Linked DNA regions of Lepisosteus oculatus. The protein of the gene in region 1 purifies or fractionates together with the protein of each later gene. This does not show direct contact. Links are inferred from orthologs where the notes say so. Each region holds a gene or a part of one and is shown in the gene's direction. Other genes may lie near its edges.

Region 1 (10,621 bases):
ACGTTTTCCTTTCGCGTACGGTACAATACAACGCATTTCGGCTCTGAAAATGTTAAGCATGTTTTGTAAGGATATAAGGAAATCAAAACTTGTGATGTTAACCAGTAAAAGATGTGCCGTACTTTCTTTACCTTTCTGGTTCTGCGGAAATGGATCGTGGTGACCGGATTCTTTGTTGTCATTGGTTGCTAGGAAACGTTCTCAGCATACTCAACAAATCAACAAATGTGACACATATTATTAACTTCCTTCTACGCCTGACTAATAATAATAATAATAATAATAATAATAATAATAATAATAATAATAATAATAATAATTTTGTTTAGGTTTCTTTAAATGGCACTCAGTTGGTTTTTTGGACTTGAACTTTTTCTGAAATACCTTTGAATCTTCGAAGATTAAATCCTGCCATTTGCAAGAAAGATATGTTTACTTATTAGACTATGTCTTTACAGCTATTTGTTGTTACACTACCGAGTGTGGAGAGCCTGAGTACCTAAAGATAGGCCAAACACCCTTGTTTCTTGTTTGAATAAAGCTTCAAGCTGGCATTTCGGAAATCCTCAAGAATAAAGAAATGACTGTAATGTACGCACCTTGGTAGCCTTCCTATAAGGTTCAGGGCATCTGCTGTTTCAGTATTTTGGGTTAAATTCCCTGACACTAAGTGGATTCCTGTGCACCATATATTACTCTTCAAGTCTCAGTTTTCAAGAGGGAGTAGAACTGGGAACTGAGAACTGGAGGTGGGCAGATGTCCTTACTGTGAGTAAATGCAGCAGTTTTCTAGGGAACTGTTCAAAGCAAGGAGAGCATCTCCAAGTAAGGGGAAGAGAAGAGAAGTGATAAAATCTCTTTTCATCTGTTTTGTAGCTAAGAAGTACAACAAAAGTTAGCGCTTTCAAGACCTGTCCTCTGTAAATGAACCTTATAGCTCATCTATCTAGGACTACAGGTGTGGTTCCTAGGACAAAGAGAGATTGTCAAACATTCAACACTTAGCCACTATTGAGTCCTGTTCAAAAACCTGGAGTCAGGATGGTCTATCTTTGTCTTCGAAAATTGTAATTAAAAACCATCAATGGTTTACAGCACCTGCTGTAAGATTTGCCAATTGATATTTGAAGGAAGATTCAGAAAACAGCCACAGTGATAATGAAATGTACTATTCCACCAGCCCATGGTACTGATATTAAACGCATTTTTTTTGTGATTTATTCTTCATCTGATATACATGGAATGAAACCAGTTATGAGCATTTAAAAGTAAAAAAATGTATTGTAAATCTGTATCTACTGTACATTCTCATTCACAACTAGTTGTAATTAAGCTTTAAGAGATAGTGTTGTGATTCATAGTACCTAGAAACAAGCTTTACAATTAAAAATAAGAGATGAATGTCAGCTGATGCACAAAAGAAATTAAACACTCACACCTAGTCGATTATATCTCTATATTTAACAGCTAAAAAAATACATAGAAAAGTAGAACCAAAATGCAGTCAAGAGAATCATTATAATCTTCAATATGATGCATGGCACACTGGTAAAGAGAAATCATGGTGAATTTAGTCATTTGCAATCCACACAATCCAGGTTTGAGGCATGTATCCAATCACCCTCTGCGTAGACAGTTATGGGATGGACCAGCAGTGGGATAGTGGACCAGTAGCAGTCTCCTGTCGATGGAATTGGCACATAAGTCTCACAGATGCTCTACTGGACTCTGATCATGATAAAAATCTGGACATGGAAAGACCTTATGAGTGTACCATTGTACTACTGGATAATCATCACTTCTGGGCTGGCTCACGATGTTAATTGTAAATAATCTTATACTGTATGTGTCCAATGAAGTACTGGTGGAAAACGTAGACTTTTGTATTTCCATTGTCCACCAGTATATCACACCAAATTTACCCACAGCACTATTTTTCAAAGGTACTGTGAAAATTTCAGTAGACATATGTACAAAACCAGATTCCTGAATGTGTTTACCTGTAGGTTATATCACTCATACTACACTTGTTGTACTGTAACTACTGAAGAGAATGTTCACGCTCGTAGAGTACATACACTTGCTGTACAACGTTCGTTGTAACTACTTAAGAGAGCTTTAGTGCCTGTACATACACAGAGATTTAATAAATTATTGATATGCATTTTAAAACTGTACTAGTACTAGTAGACCTGTGTACCAGAGTATGACAAAACTGTGCATTCTGTGATGCATGTCCTTTTATGATGTACTGTAGTATGCATTGATAAATAGTCTGTTTTATAGTAAATGCCCCCATAATAAGCATATAGTTTCTACTATGTATATTAGCTGTTGTATTGGATTATACCACCTTTTAGGTGTTTTTACTATATTCATTTACCACATTGTCCATTAATTTAATAACTTTTAATTAATTTTGTGCTTTTCATACAAATAAAAACAAACTTCTCAGTCATATAGCCTGATAGTCATTGAACGTCTTTCTTAGTCTGTGCTGCAGGCAGAGTTTATGCTAAGGTTTCGCTTGTTGTCTTACATGGATGTTCTTATTAAAGGACAGTCCTTGGGTGTCAAGACTGTCTTCAGGGTGAGAGATGAACAAGCAGAACAGGCTTTCCTTCAGTATTTACTTTTTAGAGTTGCTTCCCTATAAGACCTGGAGCAGTTATATGTTACTTGTGGCACCTGTGCATGATTTTCATATAACAGTGACAGAATTATGTACTGTACCTCCTATTTTTGCATCTTTGTTACAGTGGAGGCATGGGATATGTAAACATTTGCAAATTGATGACATAGTATAGGAGTGTTTGTATTGCTCAGTTTCAGAAAGAGCATACAGGAAATGGATTCTTACAGACAACATCAGTGCGAGATCTCTTCCACTCTGCATTTCTCTCTCTCAAGGCTGAATGCACCGAGATATACAGTAGCATCGGTTAGGATTTAAAGATATAAACTAATCATCATGTCCCTCTTTTATCAGTACCATGTTCAAACTAGGCAAAAATTTAAGTATATAAAAAATAAAGGGTGAAATCTACACCTTATGAAATGTTTCAGAGTAACTTTTCTCTTCTTGTGTATTGTAGTTTTTTTTAAACTTATTAAAAAGTAGAAGAATTTTTGTTATTGCTCTCCAACAATTTAAAACCAGGTAAAACGTAGTATGTTAAATAAATGGTCATGTTCAATAATGTGATGGCAGGGTAATATAGTGGTTAGTATTGCTGCCTCATAGCGCTGGGGCCCTGGGTTCAATTCTGGACCCGGGGTGCTGTCTGCATGGAGTTTGTATGTTCTTCCCATGCTTACATGGGTTTCCTCCCACAGTCTAAAGACACTGTACTGGTACAGTAGGTTAATTGGCTTCTAGGAAAATTGGCCCTGGTGTGAGTGTATGCTTGTGTCTGTGTGCCCCCTGCGATGGACTGGTGTCCCATCCAGGGTGTATCCCATCTTGTGCCTGTTGCTTGCCGGGATAGGCTCTGGCGCCTCCACGGCGCTGAATTGGATAAAGCAGTTAGAAAGTGGCTCAATAATGACTAAACCAGTGTTCCAAGATATTTCCATACGTTGTGTTAGATTCGGCTTCTTCTTCAGAATGTAATTCCATCAACGATGGCAAGCCCTCTCGGTCCTGAGGCACTGAGATGGCTGGGATGGCTGGGTCCTGAGGCCACGCTTGATGGCTGGGATGAGGTTATCTTATTTGAAGGCAATGTTTGGTTTTGCTGCACAAAACATTTCTCACTGTGGCCACCTTTGACTCTTCCATCCAGACAGTCCATTCCTGTCTAGAGTCGACAGTGCCCTAGTCCACTACCCCTACACAGTGTCACCAGGTCAGCATTTTTAACCTTTAAAGGTTGGTTTGTCTCCGATGGAGAGCTGCAAGCAATCTTTAGCAATGTCTGAGTCAAAGGTCTGAGAGGAAAAGTAGTGTTGTCACCACTTCAAAGGGAAAATGGTAGAATGTTCATTACTGAGGGAGGGCAGCATATAAAATATATAGAATGATGACAAATTGTGATAAGAGATTTGAGTTTAGGTCTGAATCAGGTCTTTGGTTAAATTAATTAATTTGTCTTAAACTAGACCAAAGTGTAAACTATACCTATATTTGTGTGGCTGCTACCCAGCACCCTGCTGCCCTTTGACAGTGATCTTATTCAAATACTTCAGTTGAAAGGTTAGAGACCATCATGTGTCAGTCATGTTTTATTATATGTACTGTATATATGATACACAATTGGGGGATTAAACACACAAGATACTTCAACAGATCATTGACAACCTTTCCCTAGATTTTTTTTTTTGTAAATAAAGATGTATTTTTGGAGTCCTGTACCATCAATAGTTATCAAAGCTAGTATTCACTATACTGAAATAAAGACAATTTTACATTAAATACTGCCTGAAGGAGTCACAAATATAAAAAACTGCGAACATGGAAAAATAAACCCTTCTCTTTATTTCTTTTGAAAGCCTTGTCCTTCTTTGCAACCTCTTACCATGAAATGGGCACTGGTTAGAGAAGCCCCGTAGCAGTGTTGCTCAGTTATAGAGTGTAGCCTAACCACAGCAATTGGTCAGGCAGATCATTTCCTCTTTCTTTAACTGGTTACTTCACCATTTTACTTTTCACCTTATTTCAGAACTCGCAAATTCAACAACTGAGGAATGCTATTCTGTGCTTTCCCTCAATCTATTTGTGTATAAAGCCACACTTCTTGTTTTCTACATTGCGATACTTTAGTTGACTGTTGATTTGTGTTGCCTTCTTCAAATCCACTGTGCCTAACTGGTGTTGTGGTATTTTCAGTGACACTTTAAAAGGAATTACTAAATGGCTACTACTGTAGATTGTATGCAGTTTGATTGAAACATGAATACATGTTTAATGCATTTTAGATTTCATTGTTTTACTAATGACTTTTAAAGAAAGTCAAGAATAACTAAACAGGCTACCATAATGTAATGATATTTAAAGTACCATTTCGTACTTCTTATAAAGTAAGAGGCAGTTTTATTTGCAGGGATTCTGGAAGTTTAAAAAGACTAAATATCTTATCATAATGCCATCCTCTTATGTAAAGGTATTTGGGTCTTTAACCATTGAAAGATATATTTTATTATTTTGTGTTTGTCACATGGACTAACTATTAAACTATTGAAACCACAGATTTCTACAGTGAATCGTAAGTTTGTTTCCATACATTGGGCCCAATGATGATTAATCACGATTGCTGTCTTTTCTCTCTGTGTGAGTTAGGGGGATGTTTATCAACAATGATAAGTTACTGCACACAATTTAAAGAAGATATACAATCCCTCATGTGTAACTATTCTTAATGACAAATATCAATCAAATATTTCAAACAAAACAAAACACTATTAACTGCACTTCCAGTCAAATCACCATTTGTATTTAGAACACATTCCGTTGTTCTTGTGCAAATTTAATTGTTAATATCATTTTAGATTGTTTCATCTCGGTAATCAGACAACAATATAAATGTAATCCAACTTCAGCACTTTCGTTTAGTATTAATTTAATTAAATACAGATGTAAATTATTATTAGGTTAAGTGTCAGTACTAACCATAAACACTACAGTGTTGCTCTCATACAGTACTCTTGGACACAAAACTGTAGCAAAAGTAGAACAACAGAAACCACTGCAAACAGGTACTGTAAATGTGGAACAAATGTTGCTGTTGTTGTTGTTGCAAATACAAATAAAGCAGCTGTTTACATTCCTAACACCGTTTAAAAATACTAGTCTGACCCTTTGTATTTATATTAGACATCGGATTCGTACAGTATAATCAGCCACAGGTTTTGTGATGAAGAATTAGTTCTGTATGCATCTTTCGTGAGTCAGCTGTCTACCGTCTTCTCCCTTAAGCTTTGTAGCTTTGGTTTGTGATTGGTGAAATCAGACAGTTCATCATTGAACACCTACGCTTTTGTATCACTTTGTAATACAAAATATTTTTTTGTTTTAAGTGCCCCCCTGCGTAATTAAATTGTTTAATTTCGAGTCTTAAAGAATGTTCACGTCCCATATATAAATAATACATGATAACTAGAATAAAAAAAAGTTCGGCATTCGTCTTGTGTACACTTATGAAATACCTATAAAGTAATTAAATAATTATCTAAGTCACGTCTGCCCAAGTAGAGGCGTGAATAAATGGAAAATGACAATTAAAGACGAAAAGTATACTTGAGTGCGGTTGGCTTTTTTTAAACTTTATTCCTAGTTTTATAGTTATGGTTGAGAACGAAACGGTAAAGGCAGCAAAATACCGTTACAACGTTTTTATTTTCTTACCTACCGCCGCTGTTTTCTACGCTAGAAAACGTCAACCGCATTAATAATCGGTCTGCATGCTGTAGCGCCGGCCTCCGCCTCCCTGGGCTGTCAGTCACCAGAGCAGCACCCGGCCGGAAGCGCTGGGACAGAGGCTGCTTATTTTAAACCTACAAATTCAAAATTGTAACACGGTTGCAATGCGGATATTTTTATTTTAGGACGTCCATCATTTGCCAGCAGCGGTTTTTGGAGGAAACGAGCAGTGCAAAAGGAAGAGGGAAAGTGTTTGCTTTAGTGCAGGACTGGTACGCAGTGGGGAGAGCACAGAGGACTGAGAGCATTGGTTTATTGAGCTGTGTATGTTGCATGAAATCTCAGTTTTTTTTTGTTTTATTTGAAGACGTATTTTAATTCTGGGTATCAAACGCGCTCGTCAATAAAGTATTCACAGGGGAATGTTGGAGTGAAGCAAGGTGGGGAGGGTTATTTTTAAGGGGAGCTGCTGTTTTAGGTTAGATATGCCGATAACTAAATGGTAAGGAGCTTATTCTGCAGCTGCATTAAAAATAAAAGGAGAATAGGCTCTTGACATCTTAAGAAGAACCAAGACAGGAGGCGCAGCATAAGTGTACATACTTTTTTCTCGGTCTGTTCTGTTGTTAAAGAGACCGACCCTGAATTTGAACGTGAGCTGTCATTATTAGGCAAAATTAAGTGTAAAACATGGCTACAGTCAGTGGCATTGCCTCATCAATTGCGAGTAAAACGAAGACGAAGAAGAAACATTTTGTTGCTCAGAAAGTCAAGCTGTTCCGTGCCAGCGACCCTCTGCTGAGCGTCCTGATGTGGGGAGTTAACCATTCTGTGAGTAAACGATTTCAAATATTACGTCTTGTTTTTTTACTTGCGTGGTTTCTGGCGACCTTCAGGTGCCGCTGATCAAACTTAATGCGCTAAACTGCCTGGGTAGTGAAAAATGCACCCACTATCCGCATTTAATCAAAATAATACGTGATACAGTACTGTAAAAAGAGAGCTTTCTCCTAACACTGTTTTGTAACGTATTTGCATGTTGCCCGCACCCCCTTTGAAAAGCGTGTGATTGCTTAGCGAAGCTGAGCGAATGCATTGACTCCTGACGTAATATTAAATGATCAAAACGTCTTGGACTTTTTTTTTTATTTTTGAGTTGTGCCCAAATCGCAATTGAACTCGGAAGTCAAGCTCGCTCGCTCGCTCGTTCGCTCTCTCTCTCTCTTTTTAACTGTCATGAATTAAACTGTTTTCCAAGGGAGTGTGGCAATCTTTAAATGTCTGGAAGGTGGGGATGTTGTGCTGACTGCCGCCGCCGCTGTTGCTGTGAGAGTTGTCGTGGTTGGCCGGGGAACCTGGTGGTTTGCTCACCGCGGAGACGGTGTCCGGGTGCGCCGCGTCTACTACGTAGCGTGTGCGTGTGTGTAACGAGCCGGAGGGGAGCGTAAGTTGGGTTTGTAAGAAAAGCATCCGGTCCCGTCAGTCCCGAAGCTCGTCCCGGGCGGAAAGTTGTGGAGGTCCCCCGACTTGCAAGTGAAAACCGGACGTTACACACGGTGCATGCGGGTGGCTCTGCAGGGGGCATTTTTGTATAGATTGGGGGTGGGAATCGGAAAGATGTTTTTTTCAAAATTGTCAAACGATGGCAAATCTCGTCTCGCAATCGGCATTTGGATACTGTAGTTTGGTCACAGTGTTGGTGTTGGGAGCACTCATCAACTACATCAGTTGTAAATTGCAAAATCAATAGAATTCCTAACTGACAGCTTGTGCAATACCTGCATAACACCACACACTGGTATCGATAAACATGCTTTCCAAAGCGCTGTGGATCCGGGACATCATCATTGTTGTCGTAATTAATAATATTGTGTTCTGTGTAAGTTAAACAGACGGTAAAAGATACATATTCCTCACATTGCCCTATGGGAATCTAACAGACAAGCACTTGGAAAGCCTTGCCTTCGCCTGTCCGTACAGTTGTATCAGTTAAGAGAAATGTGCTTGCCGAGTGCACTTAACTATTATTTCACGGCTTTTTTACTCCCTTTCTCACACTAAAACGACTTATCGGCTATTTCCTTTTGAGTGATATTTCAACAACTCCAACTTCCCTTAAAAGCCAAGTTGCTGCTAGACCTGATGCATATCTACTGTAAATCCCACTTCTCTCCAGCCCGAGTAACCGAGAATGGTGCACCAATCCGGAACGTTACTCATACACACACCCCCGGTCCTGTTGAGTAAATGTTGAGTAACGTTTCTGAGACCAAAACTAACCTCGATGGCCTAAATGAATGTAATTACTGTAGTTGAAGACTTAATGACTGCGTTGATTATAAAAACTCTTGACTGACCACCCTTCATAAACTAGGAGTGCGTATTACTGCATTAGGGCAACAGGTGGTACAGAAGTCCCTTTAAAGACTCCTACTGTAGGTGTTTGCTTTCCTTGGGAGTCTTAATTCTCTCTTCATGTAAAACCTTCGCTTCTGTCTGCAATGGGGCAACCCCGACCAAAAAGTTCCTTAGTATGGTCTTCACTGCTTTAGCAAATTAAATTCTGTTAACATACCGTACTTCACTTCAACAAAACGTCAGATACCCAGACAAAAGTAAAGATTGGTTTCCAATACCACACAGGGATATGTAGTTCTGATTTGTGGATTGCTTTTAATGTATGACATGGTTTTAGGATAAAAAGATTCAGGGCTTTTAAAAGTGGTCTACATTGTTTCCCCTACACTATACAGCAGGGGGGAGATAATTTCCAATGACATGCTGATTTATGTTAGTTATCTTGATAAAAGATTGCAATTCTGGTAATTTCAGTCAGTAAGTGGAGCTTGTAACTGCTCTGCTCTGATGGAGACCAGTTTCTATAAGAAGTAGTTGCGAGGTTAACATTCATGATGTATTCTGAAGATAAGGATGAATTACAGCCATTAAAGTCAAGGGAAACTCTGAGTTAAAATAATAACACAGAACATTGGGATATTAATTCAGTGGAATCATTACACAATAGTTGTGATAAATGCCAAACAAGTGAAATATGCAAATGGAGATCGAAGTTCTATGACTTGATGTTACTTTTTTCGATCAATGTGGGATGACCTGAATTTTAACCAGTAATCGTAGTATTTGAAAAATATATATTTTTCTTTTACTCTCTTTTGTACTAATGTAGTGCAGAGTGTTCCAGTATTAAACTCATCGTCTTTAGCAGGCTCACCATTAGTATGATGTGGTGATTTGCGAACTGTGCACCTGTGATTAACTTCTGACAGTTTGCATTTGCGATTAGCAAATGTCCCAGCTTTCATCCAGACAAGGGGATTAAACTGCTTTATCTAGCATTTAGACATCAGGTGGGCGAACTGCTGTAAGCTGCTTTAGTCCCGGCTCAAATCAAACGTACATATTGGGGTTTTTTTCTATGTCTACTGCTGATTTGAAGTCTGCATTTTGACTTATTTACACCTACTGTAACTGAGCAAAACTTGTCAACACTTTAGTCATTGGTAACAAATGGCATTAGCTTTAGTTGATGAGATTGCACTGTCTGTTCAGGATTCCTAGGTCCGGCAAAGAGCTTTTGGCAGCCTGTGGTTATTTCCTCCCCAGCAGAGTTCTGTACTACTCAGAAGAAGGAAGAGCGGAACAAAGAGACAATGTTTGGGAAAAGAAGTGGAGATTCTTTTTTGGAATGATCATGTGTGGTCATGTCATATTATCCCACATTTGCTTTAAAAAAAAGTAAAGGCTATTTACCACTTGTTACAGAAATAATAATTTCTTACACTTCTATAGCTTTTCTGGACTCCACTCACAGCACTTTACAGGTAATTGGGACTCCCCTCCATCACCACTACCAATGTGTAGCTCCACCTGGATGATGGCAGCCATATTGCACCAGTGTGCTCACATCAGCTATCAGTGGGGAGGAGAACAGAGTGCTGAAGCAAATTCACAGATGGGGATTATTAGGAGGCCATGATTGGTAAAGGCCAGGTTGAAATTTGGCCAGGACACTAGGGATTTTTAATGACCACAGAGAGATTTACATCTCATCTTGTAAATAGGATGGTGCCTTTTTTGCAGTGTTGTGTCCCTATTACTATACTGGGGCATTAGGACCCACACAGGCTACAGGATGAGTGCCCCCTACTGGTCCCCCCTAAAACCTTTTCCAGCAGAAATCAGACCCATGAGGTCTCCCAGATACTGGCTAGACTCACACCTGCTTAGCTTCAGTGGGTTGGC
Region 2 (10,826 bases), on another chromosome or scaffold:
TGGAATGAATGGGCGGCAGTGCCGGAGCCTTGGGTTCAATTCCATACCTGAGGTGCAATCTACCTGGAGTTTGTATGTTCTCCCTGTGTTTGCATTTAAGTTTCCTCCCAAAGTCCAAATACATACGGGTTGGTCAATCGGCTTCTGGGAAAACTATCCATGATGCAAGTGTGATTGTGTCTGTCCTGCAAGGGGCTGGTGTCCTGTGCAGGGTATACCCCCCTGTGCCGGTTGTTGGGATTGGCTCCAGCTCCCCTGCAAATCTGTACTGGATGAAGAGGCTGAACTGGAGAAGTAGTCTGAAACCTGCAGCTTCTAGGGAGAAAAAAACAAGTCTTGTCAATCACATTCATAGTTCAATTAAGTGAAATAAGTGTAACTGGAATGAAAACTAGCAACTTCTGGCGCAGTGAGGACCACCGGAGGAAAGAATATTCTGCTTGGTGCTCAGTCAGACCCAGCGCCACGGGGGGGCAAAAGGGGGCATCGCCCCCTCAACTGAACTGTCCCGCCCCCTCAGTTGTGGACAAACGGATTTTTGTACACTTTCGCTTACTTAACTTGCGCCCTAAAAAATAGTTGGTCAGATAACTACACTAACCCCGAATTCACAGTTAGTACATCGTACTGTATGATGTGCAGGAGGGCTGTCCGTCCAGGAACGGCACATATTACATAGTGTCAACATTACGATCTTGTTTGCTCAGGGGGTCCGATTTCTTGCAGGAGTTTATCCTTACACTTACAATCGCTATATAACCAGGACTGTAGTTGTAGAAGTTTGTGCTTTCTGTTGGTTTTACAACTATTTTTTCTAAACGATTCAGAACCTCGTAACCGTCGATGTAGCTGCAAAACTGAGCTCATATGGTCTTTTGTCACTCCAGGCAATGGTAACCGCAAGAGTGCTGATGAACGTGAAACTGTACATCATCGCTAAATACCAGATTGTTCGTCATGTCTTCTATCATGAAGCACTAATCAGTGGCATGGTTGCGAGATTTCACTTGGGTAGTTGCAAGGGCTCCGTTTCAACCAAAATATCACCGCCCCCTACAGATTTTCCCCTGGCGTCGGCCATGTGCGCAGTTTCAAAATCTTCATACATCATGTTCCTTAATTATCATTGATCCTACCAATTATCAATTACAGAATTAAGGGGCGTGTTCGAACAGAATTGTGCTGTGTAGAATTGAACAGTCCGCTAGTGGAATAAGCCCTAACTGAAGTGTTGACCGTTTATGAAAAAGTTAAAACAGCAGTATTGGGCTGGGTTTTTCAAGAGTAACGAGTCTGTCATTGTACAGTAGACGTGGTATTTGGGTTAGGTAGTCCTTCCGCAGCTGGAGACCGCATGGTGGCTGTCACGCACGACTGAGAAATTAGACTCTGAAGCAGGGGCGTAGCCAGGAATTGATTTTTGGGTGGGCCTCTGCAAAAGTGGGTGGCCCTGGGCTCTAACTGTCCGGCCTGCCAGCATAGGGGCACCCCTCCAATTTACAATGCAATCCTCGAGCGGTATAATCAAACAGCAGAATTAGCGGAACCTTATATATACATACCGTCTCTCTCTCACCACACAGGTTTAGCAACAATTACCTAGGCTGCCGAACGCTACTGTGTCACGGCGGACACACACAAACAGTCAGTGCCTACTTCTGTTGTGAGGTTTTGACTTTCTAGACCAGACGCAGGCGTCAGGGCTTGGAATTGAGTATGGCGATAATCTCGTCGCTGTCTCTAGAGTCGGCAAATTCCCGTTCAAATGACAGCTAGTTTGCAAAGGTCTCTCATATGAGGACTTTGTCTTTAGCTAAAGAAAAGCTGCATGAGCTAATTTTCACTTGTTGCTTGGTTCCTGTGCCTGCTTTTAGATTGTTGAGTAGTTTTACGAGTTACTCTGAAGTTAATATTTTACTGCAAAACACTATGAGGACAACAAAACGCAAGATTCAAATTCCGCCTGAAATATTGTATTTAAAATAGCTTCGTGAAGGTGCCCCCCCCATACAGACGGCACAAACGCTTAAACCCACCTTATTCGTTAGTGTTACGTTTGTGCCGGTTTGTGCCGTTGAAAGTAGCGTTTGTGCTGCTTTCGTTCCCGAGGTATAGCGCCTTGTTCGTCCTGTGATCGCGTGACCATGCACGATGACTTTGACCTCCAGTGACTCCGTCTGCCGAGTTCAAGCGCTCTGATAGAGTTTAGCTCGTACCCTTAACATTCAATATCCATAAACATATAAGTCTCCTTAGATGTGAATAATACGAAGACATGACGCATGCCAACAAGTAACCATCTATGACATAAACCTGTGGTTGTAATGTACGTAAAATCACCGTGATTGCAAGATCTATGGTTTTTATTTTGTAAGGCACATTTTCCTTTTCTTTCCCTATCGTGACACACTGTTGCCAAACGCGTAACTGTGTTTGATACCATCGTGACAAGACCTCCGCAGCACGTCATGATAGGGACCCCATATATATCGCATATATATCGCGGCGCGGCAGTGTATATCACGGCTGGCGCCTTGCTTCCATGCCACCCTGGCACCGCTGTCACAACAAAGGTCTCATATCAGGACATGATATACCCAGATAGGACGTGTCGCGAGATATAATGATCATAGACTTTACATTTCTATTCATTTTTGAAGTACAAAGCAGAAGGTGTTTCCCCCTACCTTAAATATACGATTAAAATTGTCCCAATATCATGTATTCATTACAGAAAGCAGCATCGACAGTTATATCGCAAATAAAAAAAAAATATTTATTTAGAAGAGTACGTGACATTGTGAATCAATAAAGAAGTTAAAAAATAAGCCGATGTAGTTATTTTGTAAATAAGTAAAGCATTTTAAAAATAGATTCTCATTGACAGTAAACAAGCGATCCACCTGGCGCTGCTAGCTCGAACAGACCCGTATTTGGCTAAATCCCCGAACAGCTCGGGCCGCGATTGGATGAAGAGTCAGAATTCTGACACTCTGATTGGGTAAAGAGTCACAGCGGAAGTTCCGAGAACATGTAGAGACATGGGCGATGGATGTTCTTCTTGGTAAAAATACTGTAGCCCCGGTTAATCGTGTGTGCTGTATGAGCACGCTGGATATACAGTAGCACATCCATTGGTTTCCAATTACTAATCAATCAAGAGAAGTCGCACTGAGGTAAAAACTGAATAGCAGACAACGAATGTCATGGCATCCGCAGCGCGTTCACGACTCCGATAGCAGGTCACGATAAGAGTGACATCGCGATACCCATTGCGACTGGCGTATCACTGTCATGGCGCCACTGTTGCCACATTAAGTCCATATATCGCGATATAACATACCGCGACAAAACGACCCCGCCCCCATGTCGCGACATGAAGCCCGCATATCGCGATATGATATACCCCGGCAAAAATGCGCAGCCGCCATATCACGACATGAAGCCTGCATGACATACCCTGGCAAAAATGCCCCGCCCCCATGTCGCGACATGAAGCCCGCATATCGCGATATGACATACCCCGGCGAAAATGCCCCGCCCTCATGTCGCGACATGAAGCCCGCATATCGCGATATGACATACCCCGGCAAAAATGCCACGCCCTCATGTCGCGACATGAAGCCTGCATATCGCGATATGACATACCCCGGCAAAAATACCCCCCCCCATGTCGCGACATGGAGTTCATATATGGTGATATGTAAAAAAATTATTATTATTATTATCATTATTATTAAAAAACCTGCCATGCCCATGTTGTGACATGAAGCCCATATATCGCGATATGACATACCGTGACAAAATGCACCACCCCCATGTCGCGACATGGAGTCCATATGTTGCGATGGGATATACCCTGACAGGATTGCTGACCCCCTGTCTATATCGCGACATATCTTATCTGGGTATATCATGTCCTGATATGAGACCTTTGTTGCGACAGCGGTGCCAGGGTGGCATGGAAGCAAGGCACCAGTCGTGATATACACTGCCGTGCCGCGATATACATGCGATATACATGGGGTCCCTATCATGACGTGCTGCGGAGGTCTTGTCGCGATGGTATCAAACACAGTTACGCGTTTGGCAACAGTGTGTCACGATAGGAAAAGAAAAGGAAAATGTGCCTTACAAAATAAAAACCATAGATCTTGCAATCACGGTGATTTTACGTACATTACAACCACAGGTTTATGTCATAGATGGTTACTTGTTGGCATGCGTCATGTCTTCGTATTATTCACATCTAAGGAGACTTATATGTTTATGGATATTGATTGTTATTAAAATGTTAAGGGTACTAGCAAAACTGTAAAAGAGCGCTTGAACTCGGCAAACGGGGTCACTGGAGGTCAAAGTCACCGTGCATGGTCACGTGATCACCGGAAACCCAAGGCGCTATATGTCGGGAACGAAAGCAGGAAACGTAGCACTAACGAATGAGACCGGTTTGGTTTCCATACGACATTGAAGGGGTGCTGAGTGACGTCACGACCCCCAAACAAACAAGGTGCTATATCTCGGAAACAAAAGCAGCACAAACGCTACTTTTAACGCCACAAACGTAGCACTAACGAATGAGGTGGGTTTCATCATTTCTGCTGTCTCTAGGGGGGGCAACTTCCCGGAGCTTTTACCTTGTCTTTAAATATTGAGCGGACTTGAGCATAACATACCAGAAGAACGTGCACACACGTTTCAGAGGTTGGAGTAAATGCATCCGAGGGTAATATCGAGCGAGGAGCCATGAGAAGAAAAACTGCGAAGCTATTAAAATATTAAGTTCTGAAGATCTTGTTTGATCCTTCATGATGCTTTTAAACTTGTATGAAACCCACATTAGTATTCTATTTTCGATGCCAAAAGACAGCTAATTTGGATATTCGTGACTTCCCACAAGACTTAACACCGAATTGTTATAGTCGCATTACAGTGCTAACCAATTAATCGTACCTTTAATTGCAAGAAAGGTCTGCTAATAAAAGCGTCAAATACATACTTTATATGTATTTTAGCTATGTAAACGTCGTTCACGTAAAAATACTGCAGGGCATTTAGAGGTGATCCGAATAGTTATCTGTAAAATGCACAATCGCATCCATCCGTCAATATTTTCTTAATGTTAGGCATTCATTCCAAAACTTATCATTTGTTTACAGGAGAAATTTTAAAACCTCTCCGTGCTTAACTCCTACAGGTCGAGCATGTATCGAGCTGCTACAAGCAAACGCGTGCTCTTGCGTTCCAGAAACACTTGTATTCGGGAAGCCAGGCTGTTCTCCCTAAAACCCAAGATGCCTGTAGCATCTCATGTGTCTTTATTTGTTTCGGGACTGGTCTGGTCATCTACAGGCGGCTTTTTGAAAAACCTAAATATATGCATTTGTTTTGCCATGTTGGCTAATAAATAGAAACCTAGCGCTAGATAGTCTGGTCGTCTGACGACAGCGATAGACAATTAGGTTACGGCTACACATGCACCGCCGCACTACATTTACATAATTTTCTTATTGGTCACAAAAGATAAAGCGAGCCAATAGCAAATCACATACGATGAAAAAAAATCAAACACGTAACATTAAAAAGCAAATCATGGAACACAAACAAGGGGGTGGGGGGGGATCTTAAATTACTTTGGACTGATTGGGTAGGGCTAGGATCATTCAAGCCCACCCGTGGCTACGCCCCTGCCCCGAAGTCGCTGACTCAGGTGCGTGCTTAGCGGTGGTTCAGATAATTCGGTTTCGGTTCGCTAAGTGGCGCCGCGGTGTTTTTAATTTCAGGAACAGCTGCGCAACGAGGCTGAGAAAATACCGGTAAATGGGATACTGGGTTTGTGGTGAAGGAGCTCTGCACTTACACTCTCTCAGAACCGACTTCTTATACAATGACACAAACAGATCCCTACCCAAACCAAAGGGTTTGTAAAATTGTGATTACCAGTTGGTTAAAATTGACAGCGGAATTCGCTGTGTTCCCATGACAATTGTTTATAATCAATTGGCTACCAATCTTAATATGACAAAAAAATACGTCAAATGCAGATATACCAAGTTTAGTGTTAAAACACGTTGGGAAAAAAACATTTTTGGAACTGAGGATAAAATCATCTTTATACAGCGCCTTTAAAAGTAGCTTTATAGTGACAAAGGAGACAAAATTATCACAAATAAAAACAAAGGATTGGAATGTAGTAGATACAAGGAACAGGCAGACACCAATAAAATAAACTATTTCTGAAGGCTGAAAAAAACTTTTATGATCTTATGTTCAAAACCATACACTTCAAACAGTTTCACAGGAAAAGCGTTTTTTTTTTCAGATACAAATATGATACAAAAAAAACTAAGCAATCACCGCGTCTCATTCGTTTAATTTTGTAGACGCTGCTTAAGATAAAGCAGTTACACGTTCGATTGACTTTCATGTGCAGATTTGTATCCTGAAGAAATGCAGACAGATTCTGTTGTCCATTTGCAAACTCATAATGTTTTTAATGATCCTAGCTGATCGTTACGAATAGTGTGCACCTTTATTAAAGTTGAATTCTGGCTCAATGAAGTACTGCTTTTGTGAAACAGAGGCTATCCATCTTTAGCTTGCTGCTTTTAAATTGATAAGGAATTGCATGGGTTTAACGGATTGTTGTACCCTTCCTATACATATATAAACGCAAAGTAAGGTACGCTTTTAAGTATCATTGTAGGAAGGTGCACTTTTTATTTTAAAAAACAATGTAAAATCGCAATGTCTCGCATACCGCAGTCGTCTTTGCTTTAATTTTTAAGTTCAAGGAGCATTGCATGGTTCTGCAACTGACGCCATTACAGCTCTGGCGCTGGAGTGTCACGAAGTCTTGCTAAGGCGCCGTGTGAGCCACAATGGCGAAACAACGGTCGCAGTTTCCTAGCCGGCACCAGCTTCTGTGAACCGGTGTTAACAGCCCCAGCGCCTCCCATACTCCCCGCCCGCGCGACGCGACTCGACTCGAGTCTCTCTTCCAGCCCTCCTCGCGCGCCGCCCGCAGCCGGTTGGTGTTGCGTAGCTGCGCGTCGGAGGAAAGGCAAAGTCAAGGCTGCAGTGACGACAGCAGTAATTATTAAAAAAAAAGACCAAAAATCACACAAGTGCATTTACATCCTTCCACAATTACAAGAACGTATGCGCTTTTGCGGTAGTAGAGCCGGACCGCCTCTCCTGCCCGCAGAGAAGAGGTGTCAGTTCCGAAGGCAGTAATCTGAGCCTCAGCAGAGACAGACCTGGCGCTACTCTTCACTGTAGTACAGTAGTAAGATCCAACTAGCGTACAATGTCGGACTCCGCGGGCGACGGGAAGTTGGAGATGAAGCAGGCCAGCAAAGAAGTGAAAGAGAGCGAGAATGTGGCGGAGAAATACTCGGCGATGACCGTGGGCAAGACCAGCGACATGGGCGACCTGTCCTCCGCCTTCAGCGCCGTCACCTCGCACAAACCTGTCAAAAAGGTGAGACCCGTCTGTGCTCCGTGTTCCCCCCGGGAGTGGGGGCTGGATTAAAAACGGGGTTCACGCATGTAGCTGCAGCTGTAGTTGCAGCCGGTGACGCCGGAGTTGTGAGCCCGCAGTCCCGGACAAACGCGTGCGGTCTGTCTGTCCTGTGCGACTCGGCTGGATCTCTGTTGCTCTTGTTAATGACATCAAAGACGAGGACCTAACTCGACATGTTTTATTTATTTTGTAGTGTTACAACAGCCACAGTAGAAGGCACCGTTCTGCCAGTAATAAGGATAAGCACTTTTGTGTGAGCCAGAGTACATGCGTCGTGTAGTATCATGATAACAGGTAAAGCGCATTGATTAGTTGAGATCGCGAAGTCAGCCCGCAGTGTCATTTCTATCGATTGCTGTAGTTCACCCGGCGGTGGGTTTCGCGATTAGTCGTTTCTTTAGCCTTGCCTGCTTAGTACCCAGTGAAAGGGAAACATGTTCTTTATTTACGTACTTAAATTGGTTGCCTGTAGATGACAGATGAATTTGACAGGAAATAATTCGCGGGCCTCTTCCTATATATGGCGTATAACCGCTAGAGACATTGACATTACTGTTTTGAAACGTGTTGGCCGGGCTGTGCCGAGAAAGGAGTTCGTTGGCTGAATTAGTTCTTTAAGAATCTCAGTAGGGATCATACCTAATTGTGTGGCATTACCAGCTGACATTTCAGAATTTAAGAGGTTCACACGTTCTTAATACCCCCCCCCCCCCCAAAAAAAAAAAAAAACGCAGCGAAAAACACTCAGTAAGATGTAATTATACAAAGTGTAGTGTATAGTTTTTGGTCTTCTATTCTGCTGGTAGGCAGCTTTCTTTGAAGGTGGTACTATGACATGCCTCTGTAACACTCTCGGGTGTGTAATTAAACTCAGTTAAAGTGCTTGTAATCAGACAGGCCAAATTAGGGCTTGCCACAGATGCACACTTCATGCCCACGTTTTCAGTGTGAACCTGTTTCCGTCAAGAACAATTACACAGGGTGGTTATTTAGCCCCAGGCCTGTTCACACGCATCTGCATCTATTTCAGAATTGATTCTTTGTAATGCCACTGACATGGATCTCCTGCCGAGCACCTGCGGTATGTGAAATACATGAGGCAGTGTTGTCGTCCGGACTGGTCTGAGGATCTCTGGATGGGAATTGCCCAGTGCTGTGGATGGTTGGAAGGGCGTCAGTTCTCTCGCCAGCGCTGTGTGTGGCCTGTGAGCCGCAGTGCCACGATCTGCAGGAGCCCCGGTGGTTTCTGTGCGTGCCCTGTCTGCAACGGGGCCAGGCCTGCTTTAGTCACTGGTTCCTTGTATCATTGTTTGGAAGAACAATGATGTAACGTCATGGCAGGCGAAACCACAAATTGAATAGCTTACTTTTTGTGAATAAAGTTCTTTAATTACTGTTTTTGATCATTGGATTTGGTCAACGTAATAAAAGAGTCTTGTGGCGGGTGTGTTGCGTGTCTCAACAGAGACCGGCGCGGTCTGGGTGGCATGAAGGCAGGCTGCGATTTTCTGCCCTGTCACGGGGCATTGAAACGAGCCCTCCTGTGGGCCGTGTGCTGGGCTGTGCCCTGCAGAGCCTTGCGGAAGTCTGCTGCCGTCACGCTGTCCGGAGTGTTGAGTTTGTTGGGTGAAGAGGGTGAGGTCTGTGGCGCTGCTTGTGTGTTCGTGTGTGTGTGGTTCCAAAGGTCAAGGGTATGTGCTGAACGCTCACGGTGTTTCCTTTGGATTTAAACGGCCCGCAGGGAGTTTGACTGCTCCTCCAGCGAGTTGAGAGTGTCAGAATCATTGTGCATTCTAGCTGTGACTGGATGTGACTTTTAAATGTTTCGGCACGTCTTTCTTGAGGAGTGGGGAGATTGCTAGCTGTGGCTTCGCTCTTCATTGATCCGCCTGTAGGCCTCGTGTTTGTACAGTGTTGAACGCAGGAGCTGGTGTGCAGTTTCACTGGTAGCTGAGACAGAAAGTCCAAGAGGACAGAGTTAATGAGCTTCCCCCATCGCTTTGTCTAAATAAACAAGCACCCGGGAGAGCCCGGCGAGGAAGTGACATGGTGACGTGGTGGTTAGCCCCAGCAGATCCACAGACCCCTGAGCTGGCTTACAGAGTGGAGACCCTTCTATGTGGAGTTTGCATGTTGCACTTATGCATGTCGCATAAGTGGCTTGCATGGGTTTTCACCTGTTTCCTCCCACTTTACAAAAGCATGCTATCCAGCTTAATTATGGTCTCTAAGGTGTGTGTGTATGTGCGGTGTGTGCGTGCATGCCCACTGGTGGATCTGCATCCAGTCCAGGGTTGTGCCTTGTTGTGCCAGGGACAGACTCCAGTTTGCCCCCATCCTTAACGTGAATAAGCGACTTGCTCATTCTGGCTAGAGGGAGGTGTGTGAGCTCAGGTGTGTTACTGCAGCCTCACCCAGAGTGGTGCCTGGGCTTATCCAAGCAGCGAGTGCTTTGCGGACACGGCCTTGTGTGGTTCCATTGTCTAGCCTCAGCTTTGTTCCCCCGTCTCATCCGCTGGGAAACCATCCACCTCTGCGCTGGGTGCTCCCGCACAAAGAGCGGCATTGTGCCGTCTCTCCCCTGGCTCGCTCGCCCCAGCTCGCTGTCTCAAAGCGGAGCCAGTGTGTTGCAATTCTCCTAACTCCACTGTCCGTGGGCTGGGTGGCGAGGGCAGGTGAGAGGTCCTCACGATCAGGCTTGCCAAGTCGTTTGGTCCAGGAGACCCTCTTACAGCCTTTACTTGTCAAAGGCGTGCTGAGAAGAGTTGTGTTCCTTTTACTGCTCTGATCACAATGGCACAGGCTCTGGTACTGGTCTGTGGGTGACCACATGTGTGCTGCTCTGTATGTCTGTGTGTGATTCAGCATGTGTGCAGCTCTCTGTGTGTCTGCGTGTGTGCAGCTCTGTGTGTGTGTCTGCATGTGTGCAGCTCTCTGTGTGTGTGTCTTTATGTGTGTGTCTGTTTCCAATCCCACGGCTGGCAGAGGAATTCTACTCCGTTGGGCCCCTGAGCAAGGCCCTTAACCCCACCTGCTCCAGGTGCGCCATATAAATGGCTGACCCTGCACTCTGACCCCAGGCTTCTAACTGTCTGTGTACCTGTGTGTTTGATGGATAGCAAGCAAAAAGACAAATTCCTAATGCAAGAAATTGTATTTGGCTATCTGATCTTATGTGTGCTGCTTTCTGTGTGTCTGTGTGTATCTGCATGTGTGCTGGTTTCTGTGGGTCTGTGTGTGTGTCATCAATCTCAAGGACACAGGGAATGACGCAGGACTCCACTTACAGCTGTAGTTC

The links.
Region 2: the proteins of pip4k2aa (region 1) and ahcyl1 purify together in Homo sapiens (co-immunoprecipitation; 3 studies listed by BioGRID and IntAct, counting the BioPlex papers as one, with this or other methods). This does not show direct contact. The link is inferred for Lepisosteus oculatus from reciprocal best matches to the Homo sapiens genes PIP4K2A and AHCYL1.

The regions. Positions count from the first base shown.
Region 1 is NC_090701.1:17,339,528-17,350,148, forward strand, and holds the start of pip4k2aa (phosphatidylinositol 5-phosphate 4-kinase type-2 alpha), read left to right. Parts: upstream 1-6,410; 5' UTR 6,411-7,048; coding exon 7,049-7,189; intron 7,190-10,621. UniProt on the Homo sapiens protein: Catalyzes the phosphorylation of phosphatidylinositol 5-phosphate (PtdIns5P) on the fourth hydroxyl of the myo-inositol ring, to form phosphatidylinositol 4,5-bisphosphate (PtdIns(4,5)P2). Has both ATP- and GTP-dependent kinase activities.
Region 2 is NC_090700.1:39,786,744-39,797,569, reverse strand, and holds the start of ahcyl1 (S-adenosylhomocysteine hydrolase-like protein 1), read left to right. Parts: upstream 1-6,514; 5' UTR 6,515-7,312; coding exon 7,313-7,486; intron 7,487-10,826. UniProt on the Homo sapiens protein: Multifaceted cellular regulator which coordinates several essential cellular functions including regulation of epithelial HCO3(-) and fluid secretion, mRNA processing and DNA replication.